Linked DNA regions of Schizosaccharomyces pombe. Changing the gene in region 1 together with any one later gene gives a genetic interaction. Each region holds a gene or a part of one and is shown in the gene's direction. Other genes may lie near its edges.

Region 1 (7,387 bases):
ACATGCTGTCAAATTCAGAGATTAAACCCTCTGAAAACTCACAAAAAACAAAAGTTTTATTAACAAAAGCAAATAATGCCAGTAACGAACGTGCTCCACCGCCTTTGTCGCATTTTATAGCGGGTGGGTAAGTGATTTGTAAATTTACGGGAAATGTCTTTCTAATATTCTTTAGAGTTGCAGGAATGTTAGGAGCGATTGCAACAGCACCTTTGGACGTAGTGAAGACGAGGTTGCAGTCTGACTTTTACAAAGACAGATTTTTGAAGCAAACGGCGAAATCGAAAAGTCCATTGACGGCTGCATATAGGCATTTTATGGATACATGTATAATATTAAAAAATGTAAAAGTTCATGAAGGAACAAGAGCACTATTTCGTGGCTTAGGTCCTAATTTAATAGGAACAATTCCTGCACGGTCAATTAACTTTTTTTCATATGGCAATGGCAAGCGTATATTGGCTGATCTCTTTAATAATGGTCAAGAGAACTCTCAAATACATCTAATGGCTGCTGCAATTGCAGGTGTAATTACTTCTGCTGCGACTAATCCAATATGGTTAGTAAAAACACGATTACAATTAGATAAAAAAAGTGGACAAGCTGCTCAGTATCGTTCTTCGATTGATTGCATCATAAAAACAATAAGGCTTGAAGGATTCCGAGGATTATATAAAGGTTTATCTGCCAGTTTACTAGGAGTCGGTGAAAGTACTCTCCAGTGGGTTCTATACGAAAAATTCAAGCACGCTGTCGCTATTCGACAACTTCGTCGAAAAGAACTTGGTATTCAAGAAACTATTTATGACAAAGTTTTAGATTGGGGTGGGAAGCTTGGAGGAGCTGGAATTGCTAAATTTATGGCAGCCGGCATTGCATATCCACATGAAGTTGTTCGAACACGTTTACGACAAAGTCCATCTATAAATGGTACTCCTAAATACACTGGACTCATACAATGCTTTAAATTAGTTTGGATGGAACAAGGGATTGTTGGACTGTACGGAGGTTTGACTGCACATTTACTACGAGTAGTTCCTAATGCTTGCATTCTTTTTGGAAGTTACGAAGTAATAATGCACTTCATTGGCTAGGTTTTCCAATGGCATGTTGACTATAAAACGGATCTACTAAAATTACCAGCTTGGAGAAGTGAGGAACCTATAGCAAAAGAGGATAATCATCACCTTTCCATTATTTTTTATATAATAATGCACATGAACAATTTTCCATTCGTACGGTTATGCTTAAAAGACTTATATGAATGTTAAATGCAAAAACTTTGGACTCCTATTTTTTTAACCAAAATTGCGTTTCAATTAATGATTTTCAGAAATTGTATTTATGATCTTTTGTCAATTTTTCTTTAACATGCTAAAACTTAAATTAAGTAATGAAGTTGACTATTTTTACTTCTTTATTAGTTAAAGGTAAGTATTTGTCTCAAATGGTTTTGAAAAATTTTGAATGAGTGGTTAAATCTCTCTTTGTTATCTTTACTCTGCATTTTGATACAAATTACGGCCCATAACAAAGCTTATTGAAGGTGTACGTTAAAAAACTTGTTGTGAATGATGGTTCTAAACGAGCGGACTAAATAGCTTTACCCCTTTCTTTTTTCATAACAATTCAAATCTAAATGGTCGGTGCGTTGATTTGCCATTAAAACAATAATATTATTGACATTTTAATATTATTTTGGATTCAAAAAAAATTTGTATTAACTAAGTTTCAAGTTATTCATTTACAGCAAATGTAGCCATATATCAACATTTTGTACAAATTTGATATGAATCATTCAAAAAGTTCGTTTGAGGTTCAATAATATGATTTTAAGATCTAAACTATTGTCGTTTCCTAACAAAATCATTATAAATTCTGCATATATCCCTTTTGCTATAGTTGAGGAACTCCTGTAGATTAACTATTCGTTAGAATAATGAGTGCAGTAATTCATCTATTTTAAACGGAATTAAGTAAGTATTTATATATAAAAATTAGTCTTATTATTCTTGGTCAATTTAACTCTTATATTTCACATATTGATTCTTACAGTAGTGGCACTGTTTAGGGTGTAGAGGTTGATCTAATCAACACTGAACAACATTTGCCATACTATGTGAAAACCGACATTTTCTCTCAGCCGTGATAAAAACTATCATATGAAATTTTACTATAAAAAAAGCATTGAATGCGATTTTCAATCGAGTATATAGATTGGGAATTAAGTCCTTGTGATCCAGCTTATGATTTCGTAGGGAAAGATTTGCCGACTGCAAATGAAGAGTTAACCACTGTTCCAGTTATTCGAGTTTTTGGATTGAATGAAGAAGCAGAAACTGTTTGCTGCTTTATCCACAACGTTTTCCCATATATTTATGTCGAATACTCTAGTTTTGCAGAAACGTTAGATCTTGAAGTTCCAGATTTTTTAAGCCAATTACAAACATCAATTAATTATGCTTTAGCATTAGCGGCAAGAGCAAATCCAGAAACTTACAAACCTGCTGTACAAAGCGTTCAGCTTGTGAAGGGAATTCCGTTTTATGGGTACTCCTTCTGTTTTCAGAAATTCTTAAAGATCTGTCTTTTTAGTCCGAAAAACAGAGATAGACTAGTCGATTTATTCAGGCAAGGTGCTATATTAAACAAAGTTATTCAAGTTTACGAATCCCATCTTCCTTACTTACTACAATTTATGGTCGATCATAATCTATATGGTTGTGCTCCAATAGATTTAGATGACTCCATTATAAAGAGAGACGATCTCTTGAGTTTTTGTAACGTCGAGGTTCACGTGTCTCCAAATGCTATTCTCAATGCCTGCTGGTTGAGTGAACGTAATATCCATACTGATTTATATGAAACTCATGCTTCAAGTCCAAATTCACTATTGGTAACTAGTTTAGCTGAAATTTGGAAATCGGAAGCTTCTCGGAGGAATTTAACCAGTAGCGATGAGACTAATAGTTTTTCTAAATTGCACCAAAGTCAGTTCGGTCTCAAAGAAGAGAGTAGCCATGAACCGCGAAGTTCCCAGCACTGGAAAAATGAAGTTGCCATGAAAGATCTGTTAAAAAACTTGATCAAAAGTAAATTAGAATCTTCTTCCGATGTCAATACTCCACTCATCTTTGATCCGTGGCCTGAGCTGCCTACCATTTATTCTGCAATCCACACCAAAGATTACGTACGCCCATCCCAAAATGATATTTCAGTTTCTCAAATATCTGTAGATGAGAAAATCTGTACTTCTTATGAAAGCCTGCCAAAGATTCAACTTGAACAAAACACTGCACCCGTCATAGAATCTTCTTTTGAACAACTGGACTCTGAGCTCGAGCGTATATTGGGAGATACACTTTTTGATTCATTTCCTTATGTAGAACCCAATGTTGATAGATCTAAATTTCCCAAAAGTCCTCTTAATTCTTCTCAAGAAGTTACCATTCACTCTTCACAAGATAGACAATCACCTCCCTCTTCGCCCTTAAAAGATGTACCTTCTCAAATAAATCCATTTTCCCCCAGCCTTAGATTAAAAGGGGGTTCACCCATAACTAAAAGGGAAATTGAATTTTGTCGAGATCTGCCGAATCGTCCCACCAGCTCTGAACCGAATCAAGGGGATACTAGAAAAGCAGGAAAGAGACTAAAATATTCTAGAAATCTTGATGATTATCATATTTGTACTCAAATTCCTGAAGACTACTCCCCAAAATTCTTATCTCAACATGAATCTTTTGTTTACAAACAACAACCTCCTTCGACGGATGATCTTTATGGGACTATGAAAAAATTGAAAATCCCATTTTCAATACCGACAAATGTTCACTATAGTTCGGAGAAGGACATTCCCTCTTACTCCCAAGAATATTTAGGAAAATCTCATTATCCGATCGGTGTTTCTTCTAGATATTTGCCAGAATTTCAATCAGATGGATCGGTAAGCGAAAAAGTTCGACTAAATCCACTTAAGCTTAGTAATTTTCACGGAGAACGGACGTGGCAATATATAAAACCTGCACCACTTGCTGTAGATTTATCAAATCTTGAATCGAAAGAAGCCGTTTCAGAGGAAATACAAAGCCCACAAAGGTTATCCAGAAGTAAGGTTTTTAGAAAAGATCCTTATTCATGTGTGCGCATCTTAGCGCTTGAATTGTTTTGCTGTAGCCATGGGGGATTGACCCCAGATCCCACTAAAGACTCTATAGAGTGTTGTTTCTGGGCATATCAAGAAGATGTAAACAGCAGTATGATTGACAGAGTTGGTTTTATTGTGGTCGACAAATCTGCGTCGAACTCTTCTTTTGGGCGAAGTTTTCCAAGCTGCACCGTTTTAGTTGTAAATTCCGAACTTGAACTTATTAATGAAGTTATAGGATTAAATCGCCAGCTTGATCCGACCATCGTATGTGGTTACGAAGTTCATAATAGCTCATGGGGTTATTTAATAGAACGAGCATCTTATCGATTTAATTATGACTTGCCTGAACAATTGTCCCGACTTAAGTGCACTTCGAAAGCAAATTTTGCAAAGAAAGAGAATGCATGGAAATATACAACTACTTCATCCATCAATATTGTGGGCCGGCATGTTTTGAATATATGGAGAATTCTCCGTGGTGAAGTTAATTTACTTAACTATTCCCTCGAAAATGTTGTTCTTAACATTTTTAAAAAGCAGACCCCTTATTATAATCAAGCTGATAAAGTGCATCTTTGGCAGAGCTCTCGTTTTCATGAGAAGCAAATCCTTTTAAATTATATGTTAAACAGGACTAGATATTGTTTGGAAATATTATCAGCCTGTGCCATTGTCACTAAAATTCGTGAACAAGCAAGAATTATCGGAATTGACTTCATGTCAGTAATTTCTAGGGGGTCCCAGTTTAAAGTTGAATCTATTATGTTTCGAATTGCAAAGCCTGAAAATTACATATTTCCATCACCTAGCGCTAAGCAAGTTGCTGAGCAAAATGCTTTAGAAGCGTTACCTCTTGTTATGGAGCCGAAGTCTGATTTATACAATAATCCGGTAGTTGTACTAGATTTTCAGTCACTATACCCCTCTATTATAATTGCATATAATCTTTGTTATTCCACATGTCTTGGACCTGTGAAAATAGTCAATGGAAAAGTTAAGCTTGGATTTATGTTTCATTCAAGCAATCCAAACATTGTGAATTTAATAAAAAATGATGTATATATCTCCCCTAATGGTTATGCATACGTTAAAGAGAATGTTAGAAAGTCTTTGCTCGCTAAAATGCTAGAGGAACTTATTGAAACCAGAAATATGGTGAAAAGAGGCATGAAAGATTGTGACTCGGACTATGTCAACAAAGTATTGAATAGTCGGCAACTGGCCCTAAAATTGATTGCAAACGTAACTTACGGATATACTTCAGCGTCATTTTCAGGAAGAATGCCGTGTTCAGAAATCGCAGATACTATTGTGGAAACAGGACGTGAGATACTTAGCTATTCACTAGAATACATAAATACTTTAGATTTTTGTCATGCAAAGGTCGTTTATGGTGATACCGATAGCTTATTTGTTGAATTACCTGGAGCGACTAAAGAGCAAGCTTTCGACATCGGACAGCAGCTAGCAAACAACATTACTTCCAGATTTCCTTCTCCAATTCGACTTAAATTTGAAAAAATTTACTTTCCTTGTTTCTTGTTAGCGAAAAAAAGATATGTAGGGTTCAAATTTGAATCAGTTAGTCAAAAAGCTCCAATTTTTGAAGCGAAAGGCATTGAGACAGTTCGAAGGGATGGTACTCCTGTTCAACAGCAGCTCCTTCGTCGTTGCCTTGAAATACTTTTTAAGACAAAGGATTTGTCAACGGTCAAAAAAGAATTTCAGAACGTATGTTATCAAATTATGAGTGGAAACGTTCCTGTTATGGATTTTTGTTTTTCAAAAGAAGTTCGTCTAGAAAAATATAAAGAATTAAGTACTGCTCCTCCTGGAGCAGTTATGGCTAGACGGTTGATGACCAAAGATCCTAGGAGGGAACCTCAATATGGAGAACGTGTTCCATATTTGATTATCGCTGCTGCTCCTGGTACCACCTTGGCGAACCGCTCAGTTGCACCCGAAGAATTTCTGTCTTCGAGTTTTTCTCAACTTGATATAAATTATTATATCAACAATAGTTTGATACCTCCATTAGATCGATTTCTAAACTTGTTAGGGGCTAGTGCCCAGTCATGGTATCATGAAATGCCCAAACCACGTACCAGTTTAAAATTGACTGAAACAGTGAAAGGAGGTATTCAAAAAAAGACTTTGGACACTTTTCTGATGGAGAAGCTTTGCTCTTCTTGCTTGAAGAATAATATTGAAATTATTCCTGATAAAATTAACTCCCTCTGCAGTGATTGCTTAAAAAATCCTTGTGCTACTATTTCTAAAGCTGTTACGCAGCACAATGCTTATAACAAAAAACTTTCCTTGCTATTTGATATTTGTCGAGGCTGCAGTAAGCTTTCATCTAGTGATCCAGTTCTTTGCAAGTCAAATAGCTGTAAGGTGTACTATGATAGGGCGAAAACTGAGAATTATGCGAAAGTACAGGCAGAAATGTTAACGAAGACTCTTGGTTCTTTAGACTGGTAAATCATTATAACTTCAAATATTGGTGTGAAGGACTTGAAATTAAAATACATCAGGCATTTGTTCTCTTATCACCTGCTAGTTTATTCATCTACGTATTATTTATTACAATTATTTATTTTTTTTAGAAGGTTATATCGATAACTAAAAATATTAATATCATCATGTTATTGGATTTTTTTTTTTTAGTTAAAATTTAGTAAACCTCTTCGTATTCTAGGGTGCGTAGCAATTCTTTATTTACTTTTTACTGTCCGCAATACTACGCTGTGATACTTTACGTCGCGTGTCACTATATGTCAAGTGCACTGTTTTGATTTATCAACTTGACATGATAAGTTATCAAGGTACGGTTACTAATTATGATAAAGTAACTATCACTTACTACATTCAAATTCTTAACACTATATATTGAGATAAACTGAAGTGAGGACGGGAATCGGTTTTTAGCTACGTTAGTGATAAGTAACAGATAATGTGTATTAGAATACTTACATCAATTGCTACTTATATTACCTCGTATTGCAATATAACAATCACAAGGAAGATTCAATACTGTTTTTAAGTATCGTTAAAATAGATACCGAAATACGTAGCTGATATTTGCGAGACAAATTACTTCGTAATTATCAAAATTCGTACGGGACACGGATGTCGTAGTTTTGAAACAGAACCAATTTCTATAGTAAGAACGGACAGAAGACAATCTTGTACATAGCACTACGATATTTGTATTTTACCAGAAATTGTTAGGAT
Region 2 (5,398 bases), on another chromosome or scaffold:
AAAATGAATCTGCGAAGAGGATTTAAATTTTAGTGCATATACGCGTCCCGTGGTACATTCATCAATTTTGATAAACTCTGCTTCTTCTGGAAATATGATGTAGTCCTTCATTATATGTTAGTAAACATAAACCAAATTAAAAAAAAAAAAACGCAAAAGTAAATTTATATATATAAATAGGTATACTTTGCAATTGATTTAAATTGTCTTCATACATCTTCTACTTCTCTAGAAACCCTGGCCCTTTCTTTCCAATAGAAATGCAATAATTCATCAGAAGCCATTTGCATATAGATAACTCTAAACAAATGTCAGTATTAAAAATCAGATCTTTTAACTTTATAAACAGAAAACAATTCCACAAAACCCAACAGTGTGGATTTTCACGCATCCTTCCAACGTAAACATGCAAAGAAGCTTCATAAACAATTCTTTGGGTAGAATTTCGTTTTCCCAGTAGAAAGGACTACTATCTATATTATTATTATAGTACATACCCTTTTCGGTGATCAGCTTGCAGAATATTCGTTCCTGGCTTTCTTTGAAGTTTTCCAGCTTTTACGGAGACTAATCCATACTTTCCTCTCTCGCTAGTCTCGTTTCTTACTCTTCCAAAAACTGATTCCATTTGTAATTTATTTTTTGTCAACTCAAAAGCTCACGATTATTGACCTTGTGAATTGTTGTGGTATAGTTGAGTATGCAGTGTACACAGTGCAAGTGAGCAAAGTAATCCACACAAACGTATCATGTCTATAGACATGATTTCTCAAAATCATTTAATTTTCTAATTGTCGCCACTATAATCATCTTTTATCATGTAATAGACAATCTTTTTAGGTGGTTAACTGCTCTAATATTTGAAGCTGATTTATCAAGCCGCATTTGATGGTTTCGCCTAAAAAGATGTTTTAATAGCAAATTAATACTACACTTTAAAAGGAAAAGGAACGTTCCACTATGCAGTGGAATTCATCTCTTAAAGGGCCTTGAAAAGACATAAGCCAATTTTTGTATCATCGTTAATGGCATCAATAGTAAAACAGAATAAACCAGTTTTCACCAATTATACATAGAAGAAAATCAAGATACAATAAATGTCTATAATCCTTTCAGGTTTTGAAGAGCAAAACATAATCGAGAAAAAGTATGCGTCCTACACAATGGTATTTCACTAGAAATAATAGAAAAATACATTCATACACTATTTGAAATTCACACCATATAACTCATAATATACAGACTTAAGTTTTTTTTATTAGAGACAGTCCAGTAGTCGAATGGTCAAATGAACTCTACAAATGGTTAATATAATAACAACTCAGGTATTCAATATGAGAGAAAATTCAAAATAAACCTTATTTTAAGAAATATTATTAGTAAAATTACTAAATCACCATCTGCCCTCTTCAATTAGCGTCAAATCACAGTTAATAGATTCGACCTTCAAATACAACTGGTAGTTCCAAATTGCAAAAACGATCATCTCAAAATGTTAAACTAGCATAACGTTTAATTAAAGCAATGTAATCCTTTATTTCAACATTCTTTTCATATTTCTCTTCATTCGTCCAAAAAAATAGAATATCACTTAAAAGGAAGTAAGTCAATAACAAATTCATAATACCTTATTTATGATAACAAATTTGCTTTAATTGATCCTAATATCTAGTGTCGCAAAGTTTTTTAGTTTACATTTTCATAGTCAATTACTGGTAGCTTGATGATCAATGGAGAATATGACAAATTGTTAAAAAATTATACAAATTTCCAATTATTTAAATCTTTGCTATGCTATTTATCTCTTCATTGTTGTATGTTTATGAGTAGTTACTCTACTCCCTTACACTGTCTTTCTACACCCACCACGAGTCATGTCCTCTAGTCAGCAAAGTGGCAGAGCCAATGAGTTGAGGACTCCTGGAAGAGCTAACAGCTCTTCAAGAGAAGCAGTGGATTCTTCTCCGTTATTTTTTCCTGCTTCGTCTCCTGGTTCTACACGCCTTACAACACCGAGGACTACAGCGCGTACACCTCTCGCTTCCTCTCCTTTACTGTTTGAATCTAGTTCACCAGGTCCAAACATTCCTCAGAGTTCACGTTCTCATCTTTTATCTCAGCGTAATGACTTGTTCCTTGACAGTAGTTCGCAGAGAACACCGCGCTCGACAAGACGTGGAGACATCCATTCTAGCGTGCAAATGTCTACCCCATCTCGTCGAAGAGAAGTTGACCCTCAACGTCCCGGGGTAAGCACTCCTAGTAGCTTGTTGTTTTCTGGGTCAGATGCACTCACGTTTAGTCAGGCGCACCCAAGCAGTGAAGTAGCTGATGACACTGTCCGTGTCATTTGGGGAACAAATGTATCTATTCAAGAAAGTATCGCTTCCTTTCGTGGATTTCTACGTGGGTTTAAGAAAAAGTATCGACCTGAATACAGAAATGAACTTATGCCACCTCCTGATGCCGAACAACTAGTGTATATTGAAGCGCTACGAAACATGCGTATTATGGGTTTGGAAATATTAAATCTTGATGTTCAGGATTTAAAGCATTATCCCCCAACCAAGAAGCTATATCACCAGCTTTACTCATACCCTCAAGAAATCATTCCTATCATGGATCAAACCATTAAAGACGTTATGCTAGACTTGTTAGGAACTAATCCTCCCGAAGATGTTCTTAATGACATTGAGCTTAAAATTTACAAAATTCGTCCTTTTAATCTTGAAAAATGCATTAATATGCGTGATCTTAATCCTGGTGACATTGACAAATTGATCTCTATTAAAGGTCTGGTACTTAGGTGTACACCTGTAATACCCGACATGAAGCAAGCATTTTTTCGATGTTCAGTTTGTGGTCATTGTGTTACCGTGGAAATCGATAGAGGGCGAATTGCTGAGCCCATAAAATGCCCTAGAGAAGTCTGTGGTGCTACAAATGCAATGCAGCTAATTCATAATCGTTCTGAATTCGCCGATAAGCAAGTTATTAAACTCCAAGAGACACCTGACGTGGTACCGGATGGCCAAACCCCACACTCTGTAAGTCTGTGCGTATATGATGAACTGGTTGACTCTGCTAGAGCAGGAGATCGTATAGAAGTCACTGGGATTTTTCGCTGTGTACCAGTTCGTTTGAACCCTCGCATGCGTACTGTAAAATCATTATTTAAAACTTATGTCGACGTTGTTCACATAAAAAAGCAGGACAAACGTCGTTTGGGTACGGATCCTTCTACGTTGGAAAGCGATATTGCTGAAGATGCTGCTTTACAAATTGATGAAGTACGGAAAATATCAGACGAAGAAGTGGAAAAAATTCAACAAGTTTCAAAGCGGGACGATATATACGATATTCTTTCCCGGTCTCTGGCACCTAGCATTTACGAAATGGATGATGTTAAAAAGGGGCTTTTGCTACAGCTATTTGGTGGAACGAACAAGTCTTTTCATAAAGGCGCAAGTCCGAGATATCGTGGAGACATAAATATCTTGATGTGTGGTGATCCATCTACGTCTAAGTCTCAAATTTTGAAGTATGTCCATAAGATAGCACCCAGAGGTGTTTACACTAGTGGCAAGGGTTCATCTGCTGTTGGTTTAACTGCCTATATTACTCGTGACCAAGACACGAAGCAACTAGTCTTGGAAAGTGGTGCTTTGGTACTGTCAGATGGGGGCATTTGCTGCATTGATGAGTTTGACAAAATGTCCGATGCTACACGTTCTATTCTTCATGAAGTTATGGAGCAGCAAACCGTTACAGTTGCCAAGGCTGGCATTATTACTACTTTGAACGCTAGGACTTCTATTTTAGCTAGTGCAAATCCAATTGGAAGCAAATACAATCCAGACTTGCCTGTCACCAAAAATATTGATCTTCCGCCTACTCTCTTATCTAGATTTGATTTGGTGTATTTAATATTAGACCGCGTGGATGAAACGCTGGATAGGAAGCTCGCAAATCATATTGTTTCTATGTACATGGAAGATACTCCTGAACATGCTACAGATATGGAGGTCTTTAGTGTGGAATTTTTGACAAGCTATATCACATATGCTAGAAATAATATTAATCCTGTCATTAGTGAAGAGGCAGCAAAGGAACTAGTGAATGCTTATGTTGGTATGCGAAAGCTTGGGGAGGATGTGCGAGCATCTGAGAAAAGAATTACTGCTACAACAAGACAACTGGAATCAATGATTCGTCTATCTGAGGCCCATGCGAAAATGCATCTTCGCAACGTTGTTGAGGTAGGAGATGTTCTTGAAGCTGCTCGCTTGATTAAGACCGCTATTAAGGATTATGCAACTGATCCTGCAACAGGAAAGATTTCTCTTGACCTAATTTATGTTAATGAAAGAGAGACTTTGGTACCTGAAGATATGGTCAAAGAACTGGCGAATTTAATTTCAAATTTAACTGTGGGTGGAAAAACTATGTTGGTCAGTCAATTGTTAACTCGGTTTCGTGAGCAGAGTTCTACTCGCTTAGATGCTTCTGATTTCGAAGCTTGTCTGGGTGCTTTGGAAAGGCGAGGACGTATTAAGGTTATTACCAGTGCTGGACATCGCATTGTACGTTCAATTGCACAGACTGATTAATTTTTTAGCGAATAAGCTGGTATTATTCATGAGCCATAAACCATAGGTCGTTGTTGAAAATCAAAGACTACAGAGCATAATACGAATGTCTTTCTTGTTATATATACACACGTTCTTTTTGTTATAAAAATATTTTACATATTTATCGAGGGATCCTTAACATTCATTTTTCTTTTTTTTTTCGGCTTTTGAGTATGAACTGAACAATGAGTAAACATTATGAATATAAATTCGTTAATACCAAAGTTGAAATAATAATAATAATAATAATTAACATAAACTTTCAAAAAACTAACAGATATCTAAACAATCGTAACCAATAATTCGCCATGATTCGTAGAGGCAGTGTGTGCCTAATTTTAAGTATTTTCAACAGTAGTCAGATGTCATTAAAAGAAAAATGGATAGCAATTTAACCATCAATGTCTGCAGAAAATTCTCTGCAATAGGAATTATCTGTAATATCAAATTTATCGTCACTTGTATCCTTAACATCACTCAAGCTTGGTTTTCTAGAAAAGGGCTTTTGACGCTCACGCACATTCCAATTGAATTTATCTTCTAATACCTTGGTCCATTGGTATCCTGGATTTTGAATGGTTGTGAAAGGGTAATGAGACGTAACAATTGATAAATAGTCGCCTCTATGCATCTCCACAGATTCATGACGGTCAACGGAAAAGAATGCACTACTTCGAGAATCCAAAGGGATCTCAACGTTCAAAACATTGTAATCTGGTAAAATAATAGGACGGAAAGAAAGCGTATGAGGACAAACTGGTGTTACT
Region 3 (5,669 bases), on another chromosome or scaffold:
TTTATCACACCAATTTATATCTTACTATTTTTATTTAAACCCTTCACGAGACCGTTTTCTCTTAAAGAGCCTTTTCTCTGCATTTTCAAGTTGCTTGATTTGGGCATGTTGATTGTTTACGTTTCAGAAAAATATATGCCCGCCTTAAGATTTGCCTGTAAACAGAAGCACAATTTTCAAATAAACAATATAGAAAAAAGACAAATAATAAAAATAATTCTTTAAATTCTAAAACTGCTTGTTTTTTTTTAAGTTGATTATTACGATAATTAATTTTAAGAATTTCGTAAACAAACAGCTGTTTGTAGACTTATTTAGCGATAATCAGATAATGGCTCTTTTATTATCAATATGTTTTTTTTTACTTTTAATAGAGTTTTTCGGAATGTTCTCGTTTATATTTACTCAAACTCAAAATTCCATAATTTAAACATCCTTAACTAGTATCGATCAAGGAAGCGCTATTCTCTTTTCTCTTAATGCTCATACACATACAAACAGCTCTTTCTAAAAAATTGTATATTGATTATATCTCCTTTATCACCCAACAATCCAAATCATCCAAAAGTCCTATATCCAAAGTGTTTGTAACACTTAACTAAAAAAAAATTTCCTAACTCAAATACAAAATGATACCCTGATTTTTTTTGAAACCTAAGAAAAAGATAGGCGATAAAAAGAGTTAATAGAATACATAGTTTAATCCGCGATCTTCTTAAACACGGGAGTTAAAGTATGTTCATCTTCAACATGAAAATTTAGTGAACGCGAACAAGCTTGACTTCAAAAACTAAGGTAGAATTCTTGGGAATTCCTGGAATGCTCTGGTTGCCGTAAGCCATGGGAGCAGGAATTGTAATCTTACGCTCACCGCCTTCTTGCATTCCAGCAACGCCGACGTCCCACCCGCGAATAACCTCACCACGACCAAGGATAAAAGCAAAGGGTTTACCTTTAGTGTTTTTGTCAAAAACCTTTCCATTTTCGAGCTTCCCAATATATCTCATTTCAACTTTTTTCCCATTGGTAGCAGACGCACCGCTCCCAGTTTTAACATCAGTTACAACCACGCCTCCTTTTAAAGTACGAGTCTTGGGACTAGAAGGTGCATTAGAAGAAGCTTGTTGCTTTTCTTTCTTAGCAGCGGGACCAGTAGGTCCTTGTTCAAGTTTTTCGGCAAATGCAACCTTCTTTTCCTTAACAGGGGTACCCTCAACCTTTTGCTTCTTGGTATTGTTTTTCTTAGGAGAAGCAGCCTCTTCTTGCTCGGATTCATCCTTAGTACGTTTTTTTTTAACCTGTGCCTTTTTAGCAGGAGCTGAATCCAATTCATCCTCCTCAGATGCTGAATTATCTTCCGACTCAGATTCCTCTTCACTTTCCTCATCACCGCTGACAGTCTCGACAAGATCCTCCTCAGTAGGAGACAAATCGTAATCCTCGTCAGATTCTTCCTCTTCCTCATCTTCTTCGTCAACCAAAAAGTTACCAGACAAGTGGATGGTTGCATCGCCAGATGCACTGAAGAAGACTTCGTCGCCAGGAGTAATGGTCAAATTTAAAGGCTGTTGGTATAAGGAACCAGGCTTCAAAGTACATAAAACAAATTCACGCTGGCTTTCTTCCAGAAGCTCTTGCATTTGTTCGTCAAGTTCTTCGTCATCTTCATCTTCAACGGGGATACGGGGACGAACCTTCACCAATAAAGTAGTTGGTTTATTAGACTTTTCGCCGGCATCAATGGATGCCATAGTCAAATGAATAGATGCATCTGTAGATTCCTCCACAGCGGGAACATCTTTTCCCTTTACCGAAAGACTATAAACAGCAATTGGAAGAGACATGACTTATTCTTGCCTAAGAGGTGAGGTGGTAGAGGATGTAAAAAATTTTGATACATAAACCGTTGTGTATTCCATTAAGTAAGGGTAGTGCGTATTACCGCGATTTGCAAATTATACTCAAAATTAATTAAATTTGGACGAGCGTGCATCACAACAAACGCGTAGTAATTATTTTTGATATTTCGTTGTTTTTTACTTTGAAATAGTTTGGCTTCACGAGTTTTGGGATAAGGTTAAATAATGAAAGAAAAAAGCTCTTGCAGTTAGTTTTTCTTTATAAACATTGTTTGTTTATTAATTACACTTTTTCCGCTTAAGTGGCTACATTATTATTTGTATTATTTTCCTTTCAGAAACATATTAATACTTATATTTACTGAAAGTGAGAAGCGCGCTGGATGGCTTTTAATCAAAGGAAGCGTCGACGCCCAGTAGGGATTGCAGACTTTGACGAAGCAAACGATGAGGCATACGAAAGTGTTGGGTTCCACGACTATGCAGATTATTTTTCCCGGAAACAAAGAAAGCTTCAAAATCAAAATGCCGCTCTATACAAAAGTATTGATGAAGATTCTAAATCTGATCTCTTTCATGGACTTGCAATAGCGATTAATGGATATACAAAGCCGTCTTATACCGAATTACGGCAAATGATAGTTTCAAATGGAGGTACTTTTATACAATATGTTGATGGAAAAACAAGCATATCATATTTGGTGTGTTCATTTCTCACTCCTTCCAAAGCTCGCCAATGGAAGCATCAGAAAGTGGTTAAACCAGAATGGATAGTGGATTGCATCAAACAGAAGAAAATTCTTCCGTGGATAAATTATCGTACCTTTCAAGCTTCATCGGCTCAAGCTACCCTTTCTTTTGTCGCCTCTAAACCTAGCCAACCCGAAGGTAACTTAGAAGATATTCAAACAAGCTCGCAGGAAGAAGAACATGATAATGAAAAAGATAAAACAAAAGAGAGTAAAGCAAAGGGATTTTTAGATGATTTGAGTGGATTATCAGCGTCTTCACTGCACAACTATCAATTGTTAAAAAATCCCAATGTCCGAAATTCAACCACTCAAAATCAAGATTTTCTTGAGAATTTCTTTAGCTCCTCTCGTTTACATCACTTAAGTACTTGGAAAGCTGATTTTAAAAATGAAATCCAAGCAATGACTACTGCTTCTGAACCTGTTCGTCCAATTATGAAAGATAAATCAAAAAAATCTCGTTTCCTTCTTCATGTTGATTTTGATTGCTTTTTTGCTTCCGTTTCAACACGCTTTTCTCATGAGCTACGACTGAAGCCCGTTGCTGTTGCTCATGGTATAAAAAATTCCGAAATAGCTAGTTGTAATTATGAGGCTCGGAAGTTTGGCATAAAAAATGGTATGTACGTTGGAACAGCTAAAAACCTGTGTCCTTCATTACGGGTTGTTGATTATGATTTTGGAGCATACGAATCTGTTTCTAGAGAATTTTACACTATCCTTGTTAATACACTTCACGACTATATTAAGGTTATAAGTATAGACGAGGCTCTTCTAGATATAACTTCTAGTGTTTCATCTTTTCAAGATTGCTTTGAGATTGCCGAGTCTATCCGCTCGCAGGTTCGCGAGAAAACCAATTGCGAAGTTAGCGTTGGTATTGGCCCAAATGTTCTCTTAGCAAGACTTGCACTTAGGAAGGCGAAGCCTCACAACGTTTATTCTTTGTCAATAGAAAATGTTTTTGATGTATTGAGTCCTTTGTCTGTTCAAGATTTACCAGGGGTGGGCTCTTCACAAGCGCAGAAACTTTTTAATTTGTACGGTGTGCGTACTATTGGGCAGCTGCAAAGAATTGAAAAATTCAATCTTCAAGAGACTTTTGGGGTAAATTACGGTCTGCATTTATACAATATTTCCAGAGGAATTGATACCGATATAATCAATAATGAAACCCCACGGAGGTCCATATCCGTAGATGTTAATTGGGGTGTTCGTTTCGTTTTTCAAGAGGATGGGATAGATTTCTTAAAACGGTTGCTTCATGAGTTGCTTTCCAGAATGGGTAAATGCCAAGTGCTTTTGCATCAAATTCAGCTTCGGATTTTGAAAAGGGCTGATGGAGCCCCTTTCAGTCCACCAAAGTACCTTGGAGCTGGGGAAGTCACTTCATTTACAAAATCTTCAACTTTTACTTCTGCTACTAATTCGTTTGACTTAATATGGAAGAAGGTGACCTCAATGTATAAAACAATTAATGTCGATCCAGGAGATGTACGTGGTATAGGATTACAAGCTCTCAAAATTATTAAAGACAACTCTAAAATTAGAAAAGATTACCGCTCTATACAGAGCATAACTTCTCGAAATAAAGTGTCGCTAAAAGGTGCATCTGTTGACATATCAAGTAAAGATAAAGAAATAATTAGTCAAAAGAAGCAGCTGTCTCCAAAACTTATTCCATCAACACCGTATGATCTGCCGTCATCTTCTCAAATCAGTTCCAGTGCTCTAGCTCAATTACCACCTTCGATGCAGTCTGATATACAGCAGCAATTGAGGTTGCAAAAGCGAAGTATTACGGAATATCCAAGCCAGTTAGATCCTTTGTTTATGGTTGAATTACCTACTCCTATAAGAAATGAAGTAAACGATAATCATGAGATTGCCATGAACAAACGTTTGTCATTAAAATCTCACGCGGATAATAAAATAGATGAACGAGGAAAGAAAAAAATAAGGCAAGAAAATGCATTTGATAAACTTTTACAAATTTCTAAGAAGTCAAAAACAATTAACAAGCCTAACGTTGATTATTTAACACTAAAGGAACTTCCAAAAGACTTACAGAAGCAAATCCTAAAAGAGAGCAATTTACAAAAATCGGACCTCATTTCTGAAGTAAAGCTAGAGAAACCTCATATTGTCACATTTCAACACGTACAATCGCTAGAGGATTTACGAGGGTTGTTAACAAAATGGTACAGTAAAGCGTCTAAAGGACCTAATATTCATGATGTGAATTATTTTGCAAATTACGTGTGTAGAGTTATACGAGAAGAAAAAAACCTAGGAAAGGCACAGATGATGCTAAAGTGGCTGTATCAACTTAATAGAAAGGAATGTAATAAGCCTTGGGAAAAAGCCATCGACAAAATAATTGAAACTGTTCAAGGAGAATGTTTGCAGAGAAACATACCTCCATTAATGATTTTTTAATGCTTTGTTTTCCAAATTCAATAAGGATTTTGGGAAAGATTTTGCGCTTAAGTAGATATGTTTATGCTTTTTAATAATGACCTTTAATCAAATGTATCTATTATGTTGTTTACATGTAACCACTGTAGTTCTTTTAACTACTAAAACCAGTCAATGATAAGCGTAACCTCACAGTTTTTATTGTTTTAAAGAGAGCAAAGGACAAAGAAATCTATAAGTCACTACAAAAATTTTTTCTTTTGCAAAAAAAAAAAGAATTATGCTTATTGAGATAGAAAGTTAAAACACATTACGACCATCATAAAATGTGATTAGGTTTGGAAGCGAAAGAAGATGAACTCATTAATTTCAGTTGCTCAGTTCATTGAGAAGCTGCCATTTATTTTGTGATTCTTTAAAAAGATATACCTTGTTATCGCCGCAAGAAACAGCCAATATATTGCCAGATAATGACCAAGATACACGCCATGCGATGTCAGGGAATTTTTCTTCGGTAAGAGGGGTTTTTTGCCAGGGACCATCTCCTTCTTTAGTCCAAATAAAAACATTTTTATCTTGAGAGGCGGAAGCTAAATAAGTTTTGGTGAGGCCCACACTGGGAGCCCAAGCAACGTCTCTG

Evidence for each region. A genetic interaction does not mean that the proteins touch.
Region 2: mutations in rev3 (region 1) and mcm4 impair growth when combined (synthetic growth defect), as found in Schizosaccharomyces pombe (one study listed by BioGRID).
Region 3: of rev3 (region 1) and rev1, changing one enhances a phenotype caused by changing the other (phenotypic enhancement), as found in Schizosaccharomyces pombe (one study listed by BioGRID).

Annotation. Positions count from the first base shown.
Region 1 is NC_003424.3:3,127,687-3,135,073, forward strand, and holds rev3 (DNA polymerase zeta catalytic subunit Rev3), read left to right. Parts: upstream 1-2,102; 5' UTR 2,103-2,191; coding exon 2,192-6,634; 3' UTR 6,635-6,806; downstream 6,807-7,387. Other genes in the region: rim2 (mitochondrial pyrimidine nucleotide transporter), read left to right, coding at 3-127, 176-1,094. UniProt on the Schizosaccharomyces pombe protein: Nonessential DNA polymerase. Required for DNA damage induced mutagenesis. Involved in DNA repair, mitochondrial DNA repair and translesion synthesis. Has a role in the bypass of abasic (AP) sites.
Region 2 is NC_003421.2:898,528-903,925, forward strand, and holds mcm4 (MCM complex subunit Mcm4/Cdc21), read left to right. Parts: upstream 1-1,860; 5' UTR 1,861-1,874; coding exon 1,875-4,610; 3' UTR 4,611-4,898; downstream 4,899-5,398. Other genes in the region: 19S proteasome regulatory subunit rpn1302, read right to left, coding at 1-105, 216-300, 498-628; SPOM_SPCC24B10.02C (NAD/NADH kinase), read right to left, coding at 5,023-5,398. UniProt on the Schizosaccharomyces pombe protein: Acts as a component of the mcm2-7 complex (mcm complex) which is the putative replicative helicase essential for 'once per cell cycle' DNA replication initiation and elongation in eukaryotic cells.
Region 3 is NC_003423.3:4,060,732-4,066,400, reverse strand, and holds rev1 (deoxycytidyl transferase Rev1), read left to right. Parts: upstream 1-1,987; 5' UTR 1,988-2,242; coding exon 2,243-5,050; 3' UTR 5,051-5,169; downstream 5,170-5,669. Other genes in the region: sporulation specific PIL domain protein Meu14, read right to left, coding at 26-107; ani1 (FKBP-type peptidyl-prolyl cis-trans isomerase), read right to left, coding at 759-1,844; GATOR2-SEACAT complex/COPII-coated vesicle component/nuclear pore outer ring WD repeat protein Sec13, read right to left, coding at 5,399-5,669. UniProt on the Schizosaccharomyces pombe protein: Deoxycytidyl transferase involved in DNA repair. Transfers a dCMP residue from dCTP to the 3'-end of a DNA primer in a template-dependent reaction.